Anolis sagrei: one gene and its partner. The protein of the gene in region 1 binds, or shares a complex with, the protein of each later gene. Links are inferred from orthologs where the notes say so. Each region holds a gene or a part of one and is shown in the gene's direction. Other genes may lie near its edges. The genes, in order: BMPR2 and BMP10.

What was found.
Region 2: the proteins of BMPR2 (region 1) and BMP10 are in contact, whole or in part, in a crystal structure (PDB 7PPA), measured with the Homo sapiens proteins. The link is inferred for Anolis sagrei from reciprocal best matches to the Homo sapiens genes BMPR2 and BMP10. Residues at the interface, in NP_001195.2 of Homo sapiens: Asp38, Ser64, Tyr67, Leu69, Lys81, Cys84, Trp85, Ser86, Ile88, Gly89, Asp90, Pro91, Gln92, Glu93, Thr103, Thr104, Pro105, Pro106, Ile108, Tyr113, Phe115; in NP_055297.1 of Homo sapiens: Tyr329, Lys333, Asp338, Ser339, Trp340, Ile342, Ala343, Pro344, Pro345, Gly346, Tyr347, Glu348, Glu395, Pro396, Ile397, Ser398, Ile399, Leu400, Leu402, Val407, Tyr409, Phe411, Ala417.

What each region holds. Positions count from the first base shown.
Region 1 is NC_090021.1:165,345,803-165,357,154, forward strand, and holds the start of BMPR2 (bone morphogenetic protein receptor type-2), read left to right. Parts: upstream 1-6,060; 5' UTR 6,061-7,134; coding exon 7,135-7,210; intron 7,211-11,352. UniProt on the Homo sapiens protein: On ligand binding, forms a receptor complex consisting of two type II and two type I transmembrane serine/threonine kinases.
Region 2 is NC_090027.1:20,126,590-20,137,577, reverse strand, and holds the start of BMP10 (bone morphogenetic protein 10), read left to right. Parts: upstream 1-5,511; 5' UTR 5,512-5,605; coding exon 5,606-5,900; intron 5,901-10,988. UniProt on the Homo sapiens protein: Required for maintaining the proliferative activity of embryonic cardiomyocytes by preventing premature activation of the negative cell cycle regulator CDKN1C/p57KIP and maintaining the required expression levels of cardiogenic factors such as MEF2C and NKX2-5.

The sequences.
Region 1 (11,352 bases):
AATGGGAGATTCGTAATTTACCCATTCCCACCAATGAGCTGGATCTTCCCGGATCTTTCGGCTGCTTAGCCAAAAACAGTTTTTTCCATTAGCCGACTTTCAGGAAGTTCCCGAAAACAGATCTGGGAACCCAACAAAATTTGGATACCAAAACGGATCGCCCTCCAACCAAATTACATAAGCCTACTGGTGAGCATACTGTTAGAAGATCACACTTGAGATGGACGGACTCAATCTGCAACTACACAGTAGAATTACTGTAGTTCCATGTTATGGAATCACAGGAGTTGTAATCTGGGGAGACACCTGCACTCTTTGCAAGAGATGGTGAAAAACCTTGTTCCACTGCTTTGAGTCATGGCAGTTAAAATAATCTCAAATGGCAGTCATTCTACGGTATAGATGCTCCCTCAATCAACCCTGAGTCTACAAGACCCAAACAGCATTGTTGATGACAGGGAGGCTTGGAGGTCTCACATTTGTAGTGTTACTATAAGTCAACGTTGACTTGATGCTAATTGACAACATAACTACTTTGCTATGTCTTGTATCTGAACAGATATTAATCCAGAATTCTTTTTCAACTCTCTTTTCTGCCTTTAGGCAAACTATGTTTTTAATTAGATTGGTGGGAACGTTCCCAAGTGCAATATTCTGCTCATAATACTCCCAGAGGTGGATCAGGGGTTGATTTCCGGTGACTCTTCCACCCTCTGCATCTCCCGGTACTTTTAAGAAGTTAAAGGTCTAGGAAAAGACATTTGGGGGAAAGAGCTGAAGGCAGAAACTCACAGTCTGCAACAGAAACAGAGATAAGGAAAATCTGGTTTTGGAAGACGCTCCAAAGTGACTTGATGAAAGGAGAAAAGATTGGCAGATGCCAACTATTAAGCATCTTTGCAAACAACGCATACCAGTATGTTGACATGATGAAATAAATCACAGGCAGCTTAGCATGGTTGCAAACATAATGCAGGGAGCGAATGGATAATTTGTTGGAGCAATCTCACCCTATGGGCTTGTTAGCTCATTTTCGTAATGAAACTCTGAATATTAAGGTTGGTTGCATAATGCATTGGACTTACCCTATTTCTTTGAAGATGTTATTTTAAAAGGGCAACACTCCCCTGTATATACATTACAATATATAGGTTGTATAATACATTAGGATGCAGCAAACACTTCTATAAAGGACATGGGAGCCCCGTGAACACACAGCTAGTTGTAAAAACGCAGCTGATGGTTTGAACTGGAAAACTTCTGCTTAAATGTGATTTAACCAAATGACTTCAAGCCAGTAACTCTCAGCTTTAGTTGCTATCATTGTATACAGCTCCAGTGTAGTGGATTGGATGTGTGATTATGACTCTGGAGACCAGGGTTCAAAGCCTCATTCAGTCATGGACATCCAATAGATGACTTTGGGTGTATCACATTCTCTCAGCTTCAGTGGGAGGAAAAGGCAAACCACCTCTGAACAAATCTTGGCAAGAAAACCTTATGATACATTGACTGTAGGGTTACCATAGATCAGAAATGACCTAAAGGCATACAATACTAGCCAACCTAGGCCCTTTCTACACTGTTATATAATCCAGGTTAACAAAGCAAATAGTCAACATTATCTGTTTTGAACTAGATTATGAGTCTACACTCATAATCCAGTTCAAAGCAGATAATTTGGATTCTATATGGCAGTGTAGGTGAGGCAATGTGGATTTTATATGACACTGTAGTTGGTACTTTTGACTCCCAATTGGTCTTGCTTCAACCTTTCTATTTACGGTCCTATGCAACCTGGGGGGGTGGGGGCTGAGTCTGAGTGAAAGAGGGTCTACCCTAGCAAACCTTTTGTATCGTTACCCCAATACCCCCGTGCATATGGGATAGATTGAGCATGGTGATCAGATCATGATATGAATAAACACAACAGTTTAAATAATGTACCAGTAATTTATTTATTTAAAACTTGTAAACCCCAGTCTTCTCAACCTCCACAGAGGGACTCAGGCCAGCTAACAGCAGAAAATCAATACACAAATACAACTAAAAACATACTAACATCACAATAAGTTAAATACAAACAAAATAAATACATAATGCCAAATCGCCAAGATAAAATCATGTTCATCTCAATCCGCCAGTGTGGTCAGTAGTTATTAGGTTATTGCTGAACTCCGCAATCGTTCTGAGAATGCTATGTCCCAGAGCCAGGATTTCACTAGCTTTCTGAAGATCAGGAGGGAAGGGGCAGATCTAATCTCCATTGGGAGAGAGTTCCACAGCCAAGGGGCCACCACCGAGAAGGCCCTTTCTCTCGTCCCCACCAGACGCGATTGCGAGTGTGGTGTGACCGAGAGCAGGGCCCCTCCAGAAGATCTTAGCAACCTTGATGGTGCATAGGGGAGAATCTGTTCAGACAGGTAAACTGGGCCAGAACCGTTTATTTATTTATTTATTTGGAGTGCTTCTACCCCGCCCTTCTCAACCCCCTAGGGGGGACTCAGGGCGGCTTACCAAAGGCACAATTCGATGCCTAACAATTCACAAAATACAATATACAATTTAACATCAACAGTTATTACTAGTTAAAACAATCAAATCAATACAATAACAGCAATAAAATCATTTTGTGGTCAATGTTTGCCGATTTATAAATCCATAATCCATCCAGCATTGTCATTGTCCTTTCCTACTCTGGTCGTCATTGTCTTTTGTCCATCTGCCAGCTTACCCGAAGGCCTGGTCCCAAATCCAGGTTTTTAACTTCCTCCTGAAGGAGAGGAGGGATGTTGATTACCTAATTTCCCCGGGGAGTGAATTCCACAGGCGAGGGGCCACCACCGAGAAGGCCCTGTCCCTCGTCCCCACCAGTCTCACTTGTGATAAAAGTGGGGCCGAGAGCAGGACCCCCCCGGAAGATCTTAAACTCCGAGGTGGGACGTAGAGGGATATATGTTCAGACAGGTACGCTGGGATTAGTATAGAATTAATAAGGCCTTCTCGCGGACCACCATGAGAATTTGGGGGGGGGGGGAGCTGAAGCCCCTCAAGCCCCTCCCTCCGCTACATGTCTGGTGGTGGGGTATCAATAAAGTTTAATAATAATAATAATAGCAGCAAAACTGCATTAATTCCAGTGTTAAGATCAGGCATGGGCAAACTTGGGCCATCCCTCCAGGTGTTTTGGACTTCAACTCCCACCGGCTGTTTGGAATTGTGGGAGTTGAAGTCCAAAACACCTGGAGGGATGGCCCAAGTTTGCCCATGCCTGGCTGTTAGGAATTGTGGGAGTTGAAGTCCAAAACACCTGGAGGGATGGCCCAAGTTTGCCCATGCCTGGCTGTTAGGAATTGTGGGAGTTGAAGTCCAAAACACCTGGAGGGATGGCCCAAGTTTGCCCATGCCTGGCTGTTAGGAATTGTGGGAGTTGAAGTCCAAAACACCTGGAGGGATGGCCCAAGTTTGCCCATGCCTGGCTGTTAGGAATTGTGGGAGTTGAAGTCCAAAACACCTGGAGGGATGGCCCAAGTTTGCCCATGCCTGGCTGTTAGGAATTGTGGGAATTGAAGTCCAAAACACCTGGAGGGATGCCCCAAGTTTGCCCATGCCTGGCTGTTAGGAATTGGGGGAGTTGAAGTCCAAAACACCTGGAGGGATGGCCCAAGTTTGCCCATGCCTGGCTGTTAGGAATTGGGGGAGTTGAAGTCCAAAACACCTGGAGGGATGGCCCAAGTTTGCCCATGCCTGGCTGTTAGGAATTGTGGGAGTTGAAGTCCAAAACACCTGGAGGGGTGGCCCAAGTTTGCCCATGCCTGGCTGTTAGGAATTGTGGGAGTTGAAGTCCAAAACACCTGGAGGGATGGCCCAAGTTTGCCCATGCCTGGCTGTTAGGAATTGTGGGAGTTGAAGTCCAAAACACCTGGAGGGATGGCCCAAGTTTGCCCATGCCTGGCTGTTAGGAATTGTGGGAGTTGAAGTCCAAAACACCTGGAGGGATGGCCCAAGTTTGCCCATGCCTGGCTGTTAGGAATTGTGGGAGTTGAAGTCCAAAACACCTGGAGGGATGGCCCAAGTTTGCCCATGCCTGGCTGTTAGGAATTGGGGGAGTTGAAGTCCAAAACACCTGGAGGGATGGCCCAAGTTTGCCCATGCCTGGCTGTTAGGAATTGGGGGAGTTGAAGTCCAAAACACCTGGAGGGATGCCCCAAGTTTGCCCATGCCTGGCTGTTAGGAATTGTGGGAGTTGAAGTCCAAAACACCTGGAGGGATGGCCCAAGTTTGCCCATGCCTGGCTGTTAGGAATTGGGGGAGTTGAAGTCCAAAACACCTGGAGGGATGGCCCAAGTTTGCCCATGCCTGGCTGTTAGGAATTGGGGGAGTTGAAGTCCAAAACACCTGGAGGGATGGCCCAAGTTTGCCCATGCCTGGCTGTTAGGAATTGTGGGAGTTGAAGTCCAAAACACCTGGAGGGATGCCCCAAGTTTGCCCATGCCTGGCTGTTAGGAATTGTGGGAGTTGAAGTCCAAAACACCTGGAGGGATGGCCCAAGTTTGCCCATGCCTGGCTGTTAGGAATTGTGGGAGTTGAAGTCCAAAACACCTGGAGGGATGGCCCAAGTTTGCCCATGCCTGGCTGTTAGGAATTGTGGGAGTTGAAGTCCAAAACACCTGGAGGGATGCCCCAAGTTTGCCCATGCCTGGCTGTTAGGAATTGTGGGAGTTGAAGTCCAAAACACCTGGAGGGATGGCCCAAGTTTGCCCATGCCTGGCTGTTAGGAATTGGGGGAGTTGAAGTCCAAAACACCTGGAGGGATGGCCCAAGTTTGCCCATGCCTGGCTGTTAGGAATTGGGGGAGTTGAAGTCCAAAACACCTGGAGGGATGGCCCAAGTTTGCCCATGCCTGGCTGTTAGGAATTGTGGGAGTTGAAGTCCAAAACACCTGGAGGGATGGCCCAAGTTTGCCCATGCCTGGCTGTTAGGAATTGTGGGAGTTGAAGTCCAAAACACCTGGAGGGATGGCCCAAGTTTGCCCATGCCTGGCTGTTAGGAATTGTGGGAGTTGAAGTCCAAAACACCTGGAGGGATGGCCCAAGTTTGCCCATGCCTGGCTGTTAGGAATTGTGGGAGTTGAAGTCCAAAACACCTGGAGGGATGGCCCAAGTTTGCCCATGCCTGGCGGTTAGGAATTGTGGGAGTTGAAGTCCAAAACACCTGGAGGGATGGCCCAAGTTTGCCCATGCCTGGCGGTTAGGAATTGTGGGAGTTGAAGTCCAAAACACCTGGAGGGATGGCCCAAGTTTGCCCATGCCTGGCTGTTAGGAATTGTGGGAGTTGAAGTCCAAAACACCTGGAGGGATGGCCCAAGTTTGCCCATGCCTGGCGGTTAGGAATTGTGGGAGTTGAAGTCCAAAACACCTGGAGGGATGGCCCAAGTTTGCCCATGCCTGGCGGTTAGGAATTGTGGGAGTTGAAGTCCAAAACACCTGGAGGGATGGCCCAAGTTTGCCCATGCCTGGCTGTTAGGAATTGTGGGAGTTGAAGTCCAAAACACCTGGAGGGATGGCCCAAGTTTGCCCATGCCTGGCTGTTAGGAATTGTGGGAGTTGAAGTCCAAAACACCTGGAGGGATGGCCCAAGTTTGCCCATGCCTGGCATGGATACATCTTATATACAATGCTTGAGATTTTTACAAAAAGCAATCTTGAGATGTGAATCAGGCCCTCAAGCCAATTAACATCCTAGGGTTGAAGAAGGCGCCTTCTCACGGAGATGGGGGAAAAAAAACCCAAAGGGGAGGCAAAACAAAATCTCCTCCTGCCCTTCCCACGCACTTTCCCTCCAGGCCGCCGATCTGGCAAACATGGAACTCTTCGCAACATGGCGGTGCGGGAGGGGCGCGGAAAACAAAAAAAACTGGGAGGAGAGCGTCGTTACGTGCCGCCACTCTAGGCTGGAACTGGAAGGGGAGAGGGAGGAGTTGGAAGGGAAGGAGGCGCGCGAGGAGGGAGGAGGAAAGGGGGCGTGGCCAAAGCGAGAGGCGTCGGCGGCGCTGGCGGCGAAGGGGGCGGGGCTTCGTGGCGCCCACGGGCCGGGCACAGAAAGACTGCCAGTTTCGCCGCGGCTCCCCTTTGTGTCTGGTCTGAAAAGGAATAGGAAAAAAAAAGCAGCTTTGGTAGCGCGCGCGGTGGGGGAGGGAGGGCGCATGCGCGCGCGCGCGCGAGGGGGGCTGCGCGAGACTCCACTATTCGCCTCGAGAAACGGCCAAAAAGGAAGGCGAGCCTGTGAAGAAAGGAGGCGACGGGACTGTGAGGGAGAGAGAAGGAAAGAAAGAAAGAAAGAAAGAAAGGCTCGGCCTGGCGCTGTTGGGACCTGTGTGAGGGAGAGGCCTCTGCTGAGCTGAGCGGAAGAAGGGGAAGAAGAAGAAAAGGAGGCCTTTTTTCCCCCGACTTGCAACTGAAGAGGTCCTTTCTGTGGAGGACCAAAAATGGGCCTTGCTTTCTTTTGGGCTGGTTGAAGCCAAGGACAGGGCAGCTCTGATTTGCTCATTGCCTCCCTCACAGAAGAAGCACAGAGGCGCCTTCCTCTCTTTCTCCTCCTTGTAATACTATGTATATATAGAGAGAATCTATATATCTATATCTACGATACACACTAATATCCTTGTAATATATTTTCCTGTGTGTGGTGGTGGGGGGTGTTCTTCGTGTTTTTCAACCTCCCTTTGAGGGAAGCTGCTTCTCCTGACAGTCTTCAACCATCCTCTTCATTCCCCTCTGGATATGATTCATTGGAAACCAAAGCGGGGCATTGATCCTGTGAAGAAGACGCGTGGGAATTCTTAATCTGGGTTTTCCAGCCTCGCAGGGATGGTCCTGTATCTGGGGAGAGGATCCCCCATACTGGTTTGAGGACCCCCCTCCCGTGAAGCCCTGAAAGATGAAGGCAGATTCGCGTCGTGGAGTCAGAAGAGCTCGGGCGGCTCCTGGCCAGACCTCGCCTTTGCCCTTCCCGGCTGGATTGTAAACCAGGAAGGTTGTCGACTCTCTGGCGGCCGGAAGGGTTCCTCCCAGTTGGCCTTGTTTTCGAGGGAAATCGCGCCCATCAGGCCCCCTTCCCTGGGTCCCTCCAAATATGACTGCCTTGCTGCAGCACCTTTGGCGGGTGCTGCTCTTCGCCAGTGCCACCTTACTCCTCAGCACTGCGGCTGGTAAGTAGCCAGTGGGTGTAACCCGGCAGCATGATCTGCTCATGAATTAAACCGGATTACCCGGGTTTAAAACCCATTTCGTTCCAGGGCCCTCCTGCACAGACATATAACCCAGAACATCAAGGCAGAATAACCCACAAAAATCTGCTTTGAACTGGAATATCTGAGTCCACACTGACATATATCCCAGTTCAGAGCAGATAATGTGGGATTTTATTCAGCTGTGTGGATGTGGCCCCAGTGGAAAAAAAGGAATGGTTGTGTATTTCAATACATTGGTTCAACCGGTTCTAGAGGTAACAGCTAGGCTGCTACAAAAGAAGGGGGTGCGGCTGGCCAATATTCAGATCTGTCCCTTTAAAATGTCTGCATCATTCTCTTGGAAATGGGAATAATTACCAGGTGCTGGTTTCTATTTTGCAGGGTTTGGGTGAACAATTTTTGTTGTTGTATGTTTCTCATTGTAGATATGTCTCAAGGTCTCTTATGATGTGGAATGACAATATAACACAATGAAAAAATATTCAATTTCATGAGTATCAAATCTTTATTCACAACAGTGAGGTTACTAGTTCTTTATGTATGTACCTTGGGAAGTCAGACTTGGCCATGGTGGTCCATGTGCAGGTTACATCTCGTATAGACTACTGCAACGCGCTTTACATGGGGTTGTTTTTGAAGATTGTTCGGAAGCTTCAACTAATCCAAGGCGAGGCAGCCAGATTGCTAACTGGAGCTGCATATATGGAGCACACAACTCCCCTGTTGCACCAGCTTCACTGGCTGCAGGTTTGCTGTCGAGCACAATTCAAAGTGCTGGCTTTGGCATATAAGGCCCTGAATGGCCTCGGCCCACCTTACCTATCCGAACACATTTCCCTCCATGAACCATCACTGAGGTTATGATCTTCTGGGGAGGCCCTGTTCTCAGTTCTGCCACCTTCATCGGCACGACCGGTGGGGATGAGAGACAGGGCCTTCACAGTGGTGGCTCCTGGGCTGTGGAACTCCCTCCCTAGTAGGATTCAATCGGCCCCTTCCCTCCTGTCATTTCGCAAACAAGTGAAATCTCCTCTTTGAGAGCAAGTATTTGACCCAGCATAATTATCTGTGCAATACAGTTGGAATTCATCCTGGCTTGATGAATATGATTATTTGATTATCTGGCTTTGGATGTATGCACGATTGTCGTCTATTCTTTACATATGTTGTTTAATGTTGTTTTAAATTTTTGTTTAATTGCTTTTAATTGTTGTTGTTGTTTGGGCATGGAATAACGCCAATTATGTAAGCTGCCCTGAGTCGCCTTCAGGGTGAGAAAGGTGGGATATAAATGTTGTAAATAAATAAATAAATGATTATTACTCTTTGTATACAATGTTTTAAACACATGCGAGACAATATATGTCATCTGGATTTTAAAGAAAATTATTTGACAAAATCTGCCATGAAATAGTCAGCTGAACATAAATATAAGTTCTGGTGCACAATGCAATATCTGAAATATATTTGCACACTGAGTGATGTTAATCTTGTTGGTTTTGTTCATTACTAGCTTTGTTCTACATCTACATACATGGACAAGGAATGGGAGTATAGTTCATGCTTTGGTACTGTGGAGAAGCCTGATAGTGGCACACTGTAGCTTGGGAGATAGAAATAAAAGAACTCTCTGAAGTGCTGAGACATCATTATGCTTTTAATTATCTTTCCTGCATGCACTTATCCAAATGCTTAGGCTGTAATAATATACATGCTTACTTGAGAGTATGTTCTACTGAAGTCAGTGAAACTTATTGTTGAGTAGGTAGAGTATTCCTCTGTTAGAAACCTAAAACATCTGCCTAACACCATATTACTTTCTTTTAGTTCTCTCTCTCTCTTTTTTTTTTTGAATTTGTAGTGCATTTGTTCAATAGAGAAGCAAATACTGTGGAAAATTACTTTAAATGCATTGAAGAAATAGGCTTAAGGATGTGTTAATTTTTAAAGTAGATCTTCAAGATTTCAGAATCTTTTGTGATTGTTAACAAATGTCACATAGAACAAGTTAATGAGGACTTACTTTTGAAATCTGTGTAGTATCCTTTTAATATTATTTTGCCCAGATACTTACTTACTTAGGCGATCCCTCGTTGGATGAGTAAGATGGTCTTCCATCATGGGTTTCCCTGTGGGTCCGTATGTGGCTGTGGAGCCCTATTCTTGCTCTGCATCTTCTTCCGCAGTGAGGGCATTGGTTTCCAGGTGGAAGGCGGTCCCGGTTGGGGTTGGCTTGACGTGCCTTCCTCCTGGCATGTTTCTCTCTTTCACCCTTCACTCGTGCCTCCTTGAATTCTGCAGCACTGCTGGTCACAGCTGACCTCCAGCTGGAGCGCTCAAGGGCCAGGGCTTCCCAGTTCTCAGTGTCTATGCCAGAGTTTTTAAGGTTGACTTTGAGCCCATCTTTAAATCTCTTTTCCTGTCCACCAACGTTCCATTTTCCGCTCTTAAGTTCAGAGTAGAGCAGCTGCTTTGGGAGACGGTGGTCAGGCATCCGGACAACGTGGCCGGCCCAGCGGAATTGATGTTGGAGGACCATCGCTTCAATGCTGGTGGTCTTTGCTTCTTCCAGCACACTGACGTTTGTCCGCTTGTCTTCCCAAGAGATTTGCAGGATTTTCCAGAGGCAGCGCTGATGGAATCATTCCAGGAGCTGCATGTGACGTCTGTAGACAGTCCACGTTTCACAGGCATATAGCAGGGTTGGGAGGACAATAGCTTTATAGACAAGCACCTTGGTATCCCTACGGATGTCCCGGTCCTCAAACACTCTCTGCTTCATTCGGGAAAATGCTGCACTTGCAGAGCTCAGGCGGTGTTGTATTTCGGCGTCGATGTTGACTTTGGTGGAGAGGTGGCTGCCGAGGTATCCGCTTGCCCAGATATCAAATTGGATAAATATGAATAATGAATAATTCTAAAAAATTTTTTTCAGAAGAACAGTGTGCTATATATTTAGACCTAAATTTAGTTGCTGCTTGTAGGTCCAGTTGCTGAATATATGTTACCATTTACATAAATCTCATTGATTTAACATGTTTGCTCTGGTTGGGATTGACAATTTTTAAGGTTTTAAAATTTTTCAGAAGTCTCCTTGGAAAATTGTGAGTTAAAATGTATGGAATATTTACACTAGTAAGGTAAACATTGGCTGTGTCATTGGTATTTAAAACTGGAGCTTTCTATTGTAGTTATTTCGTTTGAAGAATTAGCTCTTGATTTTTACATTGAATATAACAAATATAATTAAACTATTCCATGATTTAATCTGCTAAAATGCCTTTTCTATGACCCAATTACCAAAATGTTGAAATACTTGCATGCTAAAAACAGCATGCTAAAAAGATTAAGGATAATTGCTTTGGTTTGTGCTTCTTAGGAAGTAAAACAACTGTGTGTTCTGTATAGTTGTTGGTAATTATCCTCCGGTTTGACAGCATACCCATTATTAATCACAGGCTTGGGAAGTTCCCAAGAACAATCTAGTCTGTCTTCTTACATCAGAAAAATTTCTGGCATCTGCCTATCTAATATCTTTTGGAAACTCAGACAGTAGAGGTACTTGGCTAAACAAAGTAATTGCTGAATAACCTTTGCAGTTTAGATGTATATCCTGCAAAGATAGCATATCTTGTTACATTACAGAACAAGTCTGAAGTTTCTGCATGCACAATCCAATGCTTGGTTTTGGCTGGGACAGGAGAGAGGGGCAGAAGCATTCTAGTCTTCATAGCAAAAGCAATACAGACTCATGATAGGGTGAAGACCACCAAGTTTTGTGGTAGGCAACCAATGAAAGATTATTCCAAATAAAACTTATTGGTATTTGATGCCAGAAGACTCTTTGTTACTCAGTATGAAGTCAGCAAAAAACATTCCATAGTACCCATAAAAGAGGTGAAAAGAAGCAAAATCCTAATTTAAACTATTTTTAAATTGTGGGATTTAGCTGTGTAAAGTAGGGATGGACAAAATGCTGCAAAACCCTGTTCCTTTGTTTTTGCAGTTTGTCCATTGTGTCCTAGATTCTTACAATTTCCCCCAGAAATGGCTTATGGTTTGTTGCTTAAATTTGGCAGCAAACCACTAAGTGCAGTATA
Region 2 (10,988 bases), on another chromosome or scaffold:
GCCCCTTATGAGCATCCAAGGAGCGGTTGGGATGGGTGGCTGCATTGCAACACAATGGTATCTGGGAGTTTTGACTCTGGAAAGTTCACTGAGTTTTTCCTCCTTGGAATCCTCATTAAGGATAAGAATGTCGCTCTTGAAATAGACCCAGGAGTGAGAAAAGGGGCGAAAAAGGTCTTGGGTCGCCCGCCTTGCTTGTGTCAATGTCATGGGAGAGGCTCTCCCTTCCTTATCGGACACCAAAGGAATACCAAAGTTGCAAGGAAAGACGATGACAAGGGAGAGAATCCCAAAAATGTCCTGCAGGAACGTCCCCTCCGCATTGAGTTAGTTGCGCTTTTGGATAACAGAGCTTGAATCACACTATGCAACAACATTTGAAAAAATAAATTATGTTCCTGGTTTGACAGGGTTTTTCCTGTTTAATTGTGTGGCCCTTACTTTGAAAATAGTTGTTCTACTCCAGACACTTTGTTGTTTTTGTCGAATTAGTTGAGACTAGATGATGAGATTGCCATTGTGCTATCGCAGGATAATGTCCTTCTTCCAAGAACAAAGGCGTGGCCTTATAATAAACTTTACCCATGTTTTCATAACAGAATCAATTAGGAAATAATGACATTAATAACCCAGGAACAAACATCGTGTTGCATAGTGTTAGGTAAAGGTTTTCCCCTGACATTAAGTCCAGTCGTGTCTGACTCTGGGGGGTGGTGCTCATCCCCATTTCTAAGCCGAAGAGCTGGTATTGTCTGTAGACACCTCCAAGGTCATGTGGCCAGCATGACTGCATGGAGCATCGTTACCTTCCTGCCAGAGTGGTACCTATTGATCTGCTCACATTTGCATATTTTCAAAATTCTAGGTTGGCAGAAGCTGGGGCTAACAGCAGGAGCTCACGCTGCTCCCCAGATTCAAACCTGCGACCTTTCGGTCAACAAGCTCAGCAGCTCAGCACTTTAACCCACTGTGCATAGTGTTAATATATGGCTTTGGTATGGCATAGGGAAGGGTAAACACCCCTGTTGCCTGTATCTCTGTTCAGAAGATTTCACCCCACTTTCTATCCCTGTTATTATTGGATTTTGCAAAATGTGGCTTGTTGTGAAAACAAGTATTGGGGACAAAGCTTGAGCAGAGACCCTTTCCCCCCTGATACCAACTCTCCCAGGAGTGGATTTCCCTTCCTTTCAAGAGGAAGATTCCTCTCACTTCCTATTGTCTCAACCTCCTAAATAGGAGTTGGATGTGTTTATAACTATATCTCTATATATATCATAGATTTGGAAGGGGTCCCCAAAGGCCATCCAACCCAGTTCTCTTCTTAACTGTGAGTCATTTGTAAATTGGATGTCTGTAACTTGGGAACTGCATATATATAGGTCTCTATATGTATATATTAGGCTTGGGCAATCCATGGTTCTAAATGGTTCTAAAGTACTTACAAAACTAAAGTTCTGGTGGTGAAAATTTCAGAACTCTAACAAAACTTTCAAAATTTAATTATTATTTCATTATTGGTGATTTTAATGACAGAACCAATTAGGAACTGCCATTTATTATGAAATTTTGAGAGTTTTGTTAGAGTTCTGAAATTTTCACCACCAGAACTTTAGTCTTGTAAGTACTTTAGAACCATTTAGAACCATGGATTGCCCAAGCCTAGTATATATATGTGAGATCTAGTATAATGGCGCTCCTTGCAGTCATGCTGGCTACATGACCTTGGAGGTGTTTATGGACAACGCCGGCTCTTCGGCTTAGAAATAGAGATGAGCACCACACCCCAGAGTCGGACACGACTGGACTGAATGTCAGGGGAAAACCTTTACCTTTACCTATAGTATCCTAGATGTGGAAGGGCCCCCCAAAAACCATCCAGGCCACCCCTGTGCTTAACTGTAATTTAGAAGCTGGATGTTTGTAACTCCTCCTCCTCAATATGACATCCTTTCAGATATTTAAACATGGATCTCATGTTCCTTCTGAACCTTCTTTCCTCCAAGAAAAACATCCCAAACTTCTTCAGCCATTTTTCAGAGGGATTATTGGTTTCCAGAACTTTGAACTTTTGGGGAGCCCTTCTCTGGACACCTTCTTTCTTGTACATCTCCTTAGAATCATAGAATCCTAGTGTTGGAAGAGACTTCCAAGGGCCATCTAGTCCAACCCCCTTCTTTCTGTCCTGCAGGAAAAGCACAAAGTATCCCCGATAGACTGCCACCCAGCCTCTGTTTAAAAGCTTCCAAGGAATGAGCTTACACCAGATTCTGAGGCAGAAAGTTCAACTGCTGAACAGCTTGTACGTTCAGAAAGTTCTTACTCATGTTCAGGTAGAATCTCCTTCATTTGTCATTTGAACCCATGGCTCCGCGTCCTAGTCTCCAGGGCAGCAGAAATGAAGACTGTTTCCTCTTCCTTATGACAGCCTTTCACATATTTAGACATGGCTGTCATTCCTCCTCCACTCAACCTTCTCTTCTGCAGGATAAACAAACCCAGCTCTTTAAGATGCTCCTCAGACGGATTATTAATGGTCTCCAGACCTTTGATCCTTTGGGTCTCCCTCTTCCTCTGGACATCTTCCAGCTTGGAATCATGGTGTCCAGAATTGGACACAGTATTCCAGGTGAAGCCTGACCAAAGCCAAATAGAGAGGCACCAGGACTTCCCTCGATCTAGACCAGTGGTTCTCAACCTTCCTAATGCCACGACCCCTGAATACAGTTCCTCATGTTGTGGTGACCCCCAACCATAACATTATTTTCGTTGCTACCCCATAACTGTAATTTTGCTACTGTTATGAATCGGCATGCAAATATCTGATATGCAGCATGTATTTTCATTCACTGCACCAAATATGCCACAAATACCCGATATGCCCAAATTTGAATACTGGTGGGGCTGATTTTGTCATTTGGGAGTTGTAATTACTGAGATTTATAGTTCATCTACAATCAAAGAGCATTCTGAATTCCGCCAATGATGACATTGAACCAAACTTGGCACACAGAATTCCCATGACCAACGGAAAATACTGGAAGGATTTGATGGGCACTGGCCTTGAGTTTGGGAGTTGTAGTTCACCTACCTCCAGAAACTCAAACAATGATGGATCTGGACCTAACTTGGCATGAATATTCAATATGCCCAAATGTAAACACTAGTGGAGTTTGGGGAAAATAGACCTTGACATTTGGGAGTTGGAGTTGTTGGGATTTATAGTTCACTTACAATCACATAGCATTCTGAACTCCGCCAATGATGAAATTGAACCAAACTTGGCACACAGAACTCCCATGACCAACAGAAAATACTGTTTTCTGATGGTCTTTGGCGACCCCTCTGACACCCCCTCGCGACCCCCACAGGGGTCCCGACCCCCAGGTTGAGAACCACTGATCTAGACACTAGATTGGCCTTTGAGCTGCTGCATCATACTCGTGGCTCATGTTCTATTTGCTTCCCACGAAGACTCCAAGATCTTTTTCACATGGACTGTTGTTGAGCCAGGCATCTCTCATTCTGTATCTTTGCATTTCATTGTTCCCTGCCTAAGTGTAGCATCTTACATTGCTCCTTGTTGACATTCATTGTGTTTCTTTTGGTCAATCAGCTCTCATCTGTTGAGGTCCTTTTGCATCCTGACTCTGTCCTCTGGAGTATTCGCTCTCCCTCCTAATTTAGTCCCAGCTGCTAGCTTGATACGAAGCAGGCCCTCTAAACCTTCATCCAAGCCATTAATAAAGACGTTGAAGAATATTGGGCCCAGGACCAAACTCTCAGGCACTCCTTCTTCAATTGCTTTGTCCAGAATGGGACATAGGGCTGTCATTCCAGGTGAGGAGATCTTCCCAAAGCAGAAGAGAGAGACTAGGAGTTTCCTCGATGTGGATTATTTATTTATCGTGTCATCCGCAACCAGAACATTGTATTACATTTCTAACAGAACAAAACAAACAAACAAACAGATGAAAAAAACCCCCCACAAATTTTGCAAACTTGGTAGCTGATTAAATGTCCTTTGACCAGTATCTGACCACTTGGAGTGCCTCTGGCGTTGCCACAAGAAGGTCCTCCATTGTGCATGTGGCAGGGCTCAGGGTGCATTGCAGCAGGTGGTCAGTGGTTTGCTCTTCTCCACACTTGCACGTCGTGAATTCAACTTTGTAGCCCCATTTCTTAATATTGGCTCTGCATCTTGTGGTGCCAGAGCACAGTCTGTTCAGCGCCTTCCAAGTCGCCCAGTCTTCTGTGTGCCCAGGGGGGAGTCTCTCATCTGGTATCACCCACGGATTGAGGTGCTGGGTTTGGGCCTGCCACTTTTGGACTCTCGCTTGCGGAGGTGTTCCAGCGAGTGTCTCTGTAGATCTAAGAAAACTATTTCTTGATTTAAGTCATTGACGTGCTGGCTGATACCCAAACAAGGGATGAGCTGGAGATGTCTCTGCCTTGGTCCTTTCACTATCGGCTGCAACTTCCTGGCGGATGTCAGGTGGTGCAATACCGGCTAAGCAGTGTAATTTCTCCAGTGGTGTAGGGCACAGACACCCTGTGATAATGCGGCATGTCTCATTAAGAGCCACATCCACTGTTTTAGTGTGGTGAGATGTGTTCCACACTGGGCATGCATACTCAGCAGCAGAGTAGCATAGCGCAAGGGCAGATGTCTTCACTGTATCTGGTTGTGATCCCCAGGTTGTGCCAGTCAGCTTTCGTATGATATTGTTTCTAGCATCCACTTTTTGTTTGATGTTCAGGCAGTGATTCTTGTAGGTCAGAGAACGGTCCAGAGTGACTCCCAGGTATTTAGGTGCGCTGCAATGCTCCAGTGGGATTCAATGCAACGCTTCCAGTGGGACATGAGAGAAGCCTCCTCGCAGGATTGCAAGACATCCGGGCGTCCCCTGGGCAATGTCTTCATAGACGGCTGATTCTCTCGATCCAGAAGCAACCAGAGAAACCAGAGATGTGGATGCTAGGCTCCTATGGATGCAGCCTGGAATGGCATTGGTCATTGCCACATCACACTGTTGACTCATGCTCAGGCTGTGGTCTCCAAAGATCCTTAGATTCCTTTCACACGGAAGGTTCTTCAGCCAGGTGTCCCTCATCCTATATCTATGCAGAACCGGATGCAGGATTGAGCCGTTGCCATTTGAGCACATTAATTCTCCAGTGCAGATGCCCCCTTAGAAACAGTCCTCAGAGAAAACAGAAGTAGAGGAAGGGAGGGTATGTCCTTCCGCACAAGACGAGGGGAAAAAGTTGGCCAACTCTTCCATCGCATCCCAACGAGGAATGTTTACACCATGCTCATTAAGAGAGCGGCGCATTTGTGAGATAGAGACCGAAATCTGGTGGACAGCTTACACTGGGGGAGATAAGGCAGCGAAGGCGACCATTGGAGACCAGATCCAATTACTGAGACCTGGACGAAAGGGGGTGGGATTGGAAGGAGAGGCGTTCGCATGACAAGCGCCTGGGCAAGAGCTTCCAGACTTGTCCACGGCTAGTGACAAGCACCATATATATCTCTATCTCTATCCATTGTGCTGGGACGACCATATATATCTCTCTCTATCTGTTGTGCTGGGACGCAACCATGAGAAAGGCAACTATGAGGCTGGTGGCCTTGCAAATGTGGGCCGTCATGCTGCTCCGCATTGGAGACGGAGGTCCCATCCGAGACCTGGATGCGCCGGAGGATGTGGCCTTCTTTGACGAGCAGGACCCCATTCTGCAGAACCTATTGAAGGCCCTCAACATCTCTGAGGTCCCTGTCCAAGAACCGGCCAAAGTGGAGCCTCCCGAATACATGCTGGAGCTCTTCCACCGCTTCACCCTTGACAAGAGTTCTATGCCCTCCGCCAACATTGTCCGCAGCTTCAAGAACGAAGGTAAGGCCCGGGACGCTCTCCTTGAGACCTTAGAGATTGCTTGGCCGGACATTGCCTTACTTTTGGGAGCTTCTTGGGTGGAAAGAAGGAAAATGCATGAATGGCTTAGAAGAAGGTTTAAAGAGCATGCTTCTTATCAAGTTTGGAACCAAATTGGGATGGAGAGCTCATATTGCAGAAGACAGGGTCTGGATGCAAAATGACCTTCACACGACTATTGTTCCTGGGTTACCAGTGTCATTTCCTAATTGGTTCCATCATCAAAACATGGAAATGCAGCACATTATATATTATTACTAGCTATCCCCTGCCACACGTTGTTGTGGTCCAGTCTAGTGATCTGAAAAATAAAGTAATGGTTTCTAATATATGTAATTCCTTTATACTTGTGAGTAAACTATTCCTTGTTGTTTCTTTGTCAGTGTTGATGTGGAGATTGTCTGGTTTGCCTACTCTGGAACATGCAACATATAATTATCCTTCTTTAGGGGCCCCTTTCAAATCTATGATACTATATCTGTGTTTGTGTGTATGTGTGTGAATCATCATATATCTATCTTTATCTATGGCTGGATAGCTCTTTATCAGGAGGGCTTTGATTACGTTTTCTTGCCCTAGTGAAAGGAGTTGGACTGGATGGTCTTAAGTATGGTGGTTCTGTGTGGGACTTTTGCCCCAATTCTGTCGTTGGTGGGGTTCAGCATGCTCTTTGATTGTAGGTGAACTATAAATCCCAGTAACTAGAACTCCCAAATGTCAGGGTCTATTTCCCCCAAACTCCATCTGTATTCATATTTGGGCATATGGAATATTCGTGCCAAGTTTGGTCCAGATCTATCATTGTTTGAGTCCAAAGTGTTCTCTGGATGTAGGTAAACTACAACTCCCAAGCTCAAGGTCAATGCTCACCAAACCCTTCTAGTATTTTCTGTTGGTCAGGGGAGTTCTGTGTCCCAAGATTGGTTCAATTCCATCATTGGTGGAGTTCAGAAAGCTCTATGATTGTAGGTGAACTATAACTATAAATCCCAGCAACTACAACTCCGAAATGACAAAATCATTTTTTTAGTGAAGGACATATATTGAGTTGTTAGATGTCTTGTGTCCAAATTTGGTGTCAATTTGTCCAAACATTAAATTTTTATTTATATAGATTGTATATTTTTATTAATAATAATACTATATAATATCGTATATTATTATTGTATAATAATAATAATAACACTATGTAAGACGACAATCTAATTTGTTAGATCATAAAACATGGGAAATATTTACTAAACTGCAAAAAGTTTGTGCGGGAGAGAGATCGTCCTGCAGCACATTTCACCCTAGTTTTTCAATGAATATTTCATCGAGTCTAAGCCAATTAGTCTGTGGCAAAACAAAGTTTCTGGAGTAGAACAACTACTTTCAAAGAAATTGATTATATGGCAGTATAGACTCATAGAATCAAAGAGTTGGAAGAGACCTCATGGACCATCCAGTCCAACCCCCTGCCAAGAAGCAGGAATATTGCATTCAAATCACCCCTGACAGATGGTCATCCAGCCTCTGTTTAAAAGCTTCCAAAGAAGGAGCCTCCACCACACTCTGGGGCAGAGAGTTCCACTGCTGAATGGCTCTCACAGTCAGGAAATTCTTCCTCGTGTTCAGATGGAATCTCCTCTCTTGTAATTTGAAGCCATTGTTCCGCGTCCTAGTCTCCGAGGAAGCAGAAAACAAGCTTGCTCCATCCTCCCTGTGGCTTCCTCTCACATATTTATACATGGCTATCATATCTCCTCTCACCCTTCTCTTCTTCAGGCTAAACATGCCCAGTTCCTTAAGCCGCTCCTCATAGGGCTTGTTCTCCAGACCCTTGAACATTTTAGTTGCCCTCCTCTGGACACATTCCAGCTTGTCAATATCTCTCTTGAATTGAGGTGCCCAAAATTGGACACAATATTCCAGGTGTGGTCTAACCAAAGCGGAATAGAGGGGTAGCATGACTTCCCTAGATCTAGACACTATGCTCCTGTTGATGCAGGCCAAAATCCCACTGGCTTTTTTTGGCGCCACATCACATTGTTGGCTCATGTTTAACTTGTTGTCCACGAGGACTCCGAGATCTTTTTCACACGTACTGCTCTCAAGCCAGGCATTGTCCCCCATTCTGTATCTTTGCATTTTGTTTTTCCTACCAAAGTGGAGTATCTTGCATTTGTCACTGCCGAACTTCATTTTGTTAGTTTTGACCCATCTCTCCAATCTGTCAAGATCATTTTGAATCCTGCTCCTGTCCTCTGGAGTATTGGCTATCCCTCCCAATTTGGTGTCATCTGCAAACTTGATGATCATGCCTTCTATAGACTCATTGATATGAGTATAGACTCATATCAATCCATTTCGAAGCAGGTAATATGGATTATCTGCTTTGATAATCTGAATTACATGGCAGTGTATAAAGCGGTCTTAGTGGAGAACCAGTTGAACATGAGCCAGCAATGGGATGCAGCAGCTCCAAAAGTCAATGGGATTTTGGGTTGCATCCAAGGAGTCTCTTCTATCTCACAGAAGAATAGATTTGGAAGAGACCCCCATGGACCATCTAGTCTGACTTTCTTCCATGCAGGGAAAGGACAATCAATTTGTAATTTTATTATTATACTAGCCGTTCCCCGCCACGCGTTGCTGTGGCCCACATAGGGGTTCTGTGTGGGAGGTTTGGCCCAATTCAATCGTTGGTGGGGTTCAGAATGCTCTGTGATTGTAGGTGAACTATAAATCCCAGCAACTACAACTCCCAAATGTCAAGATTCTATGTTCCCCAAACTCTAATAGTGTTCACATTTGGGCATATTGAGTATTCGTGTAGAGTTTGGTCCAGATCCATCATTTTTTGAGTCTCTGGATGTAGGTGAACTACAACTCCAAAACCAAAGGACACTGCCCACCAAACCCTTCCAGTATTTTCTGTTGGTCATGGGAGAACTGTGTGCCAAGTTTGGTTCAATTCCATCATTGGTGAGGTTCAGAATGCTCTGTGATTGTAGGTGAACAATAAATCCCAACAACTACAACTCCCAAATGTCAAGATTCTATTTTCCCCAAACTCTAACAGTGTTCACATTTGGGTATATTGAGTATTCGTGTAGAGTTTAATCCAGATCCATTATTGTTTGAGTCCACAGTGTTCTCTGGATGTAGGTGAACTACAACTCTCAAACTCAAGGTCAATGCTCACCAAAACCCTTCCAGTATTTTCTGTTGGTCATGGGAGTTCTGTGTACCATGTTTGGTTCAATTCCATCATTGATGGAGTTCAGAATGCTCTTTGATTGTAGGTGAACTATAAATTCCAGCAACTACAACTCCCAAATGACAAAATTATAATTTTTTGAGTGATGGTCACTCCTTGTGTTGTGAGACATTTTGTTGCCAAATTTGGTGTGATTTCATTCATTGGTTCTTTTGTTTTTAAGGTACTCATTATGCACAGAGCATTTATATATATATATATATATATATATATATATATATATATATATATAGTATTATGTTTATATTTATTATATTGTACTAGCCATTCCCTGCTACACATTGCCGTGGCCCAGTTTGGTGCTCTGGAAAATAAAGTAATGAGAAAGTGTTGGTTTCTAATATATGTATTTTTTATGATTGTGGGTAAACGGTATTTTTTGTTGTTTCTCGGTCAGTGTTGATGTGGAGATTGTCTGGTTTGCCTACTCTGGAACGTGCAACGTATCATTGTCCTTCTTCAGGGGTCCGGGCGTCCCCTGGGCAACGTCCTTACAGACGGCCAATTCTCTCACACCAGAAACGACTTGCAGTTTCTCAAGTTGCTCCTGACATGAAAAAAAGGAGGGGTCCCTTTCCAATCTATGATACTATATCTGTCATATACATATATGTGTGTGTGTGTGAATCATATCTATCTATGGCTGGATGGCTCTTTGTCAGGAAGGCTTTGATGATGATTTCTTTCCCTGGTGAAGGAAGTTGGACTGGATGGCATTAAGGCAGCATTTCTCTACCTGGGGGTTGGGTGCCCGGGTGGTCACCATGGGGTGTCACAGTATTTTCTGTTGGTTAGGGGAGTTCCGTTTGGGAAGTTTGCCCCAATTCTATTGTTCAGAATGCTCTTTGATAGTAGGTGAAATATAAATCCCAGCAACTACAATTCCCAAATGGCAAAATCATTTTTTTTTTAGTGATGGTCACTCCTTGGGTTAGTAGGTGTCTTGTGTCCAAATTTGGTGGTAATTAGTCCAGTGGTTTTGAGTTATGATGTCACACAAAACAAACAGAGCATTTATATATATATATATATATATATATAGAGAGAGAGAGAGAGAGAGATTATTTATGATGAAGAGATTTATGTTATTTATGTTATTTATTATTATTATTATTATGTTATTTATTATTATTATATCATGATATTGATAATAATATTATGTTTAGGATTATATGTATAAGTATTATATTTATTATATTACTGCTGAGTATTATAGCTATTACTACTACTATTATTGTATCTATTATTTATTGATTTTATTTATTACTAGCCGTCCCCTGCCAGGCGTTGCTGTGGCCCAGTCTGGTGATCTGGAAAATAAAGTAATGAGAAAGTGTTGGTTTCCAAAATATGTAATTTCTTTATGCTTGTGGATAAACAGTATTTCTTGTTGTTTCTTTGTCAGTGTTGATGTGGAGATGGTCTGGTTTGCCTATTCTGGAATATGCAACATATCATAGTCCTTCTTTAAGGGTCCCTTTCAAATCTATGATACTATATCTGTCTCTCTCTCTGTGTGAATCATATCTATCTATCTATCTATATTTATGACTGGATGGCTCTTTGTCAGGAGGGCTTTGATTACGTTTTCTTACCCTGGTGAAGGGAGTTGGACTGGATGGCCTTAAGTATTTTCTGTTAGTCATGGGGATTCAGTGTGGGAAATTTGCCCTAATTCTGTCATTGGTGGGGTTCAGAATGCTCTTTAATTGTAGGTGAACTATAAATCCTAGCAACTACAACTCCCAAATGTCAAGTTCTATTTCCCACAAACTCCAACTGTATTC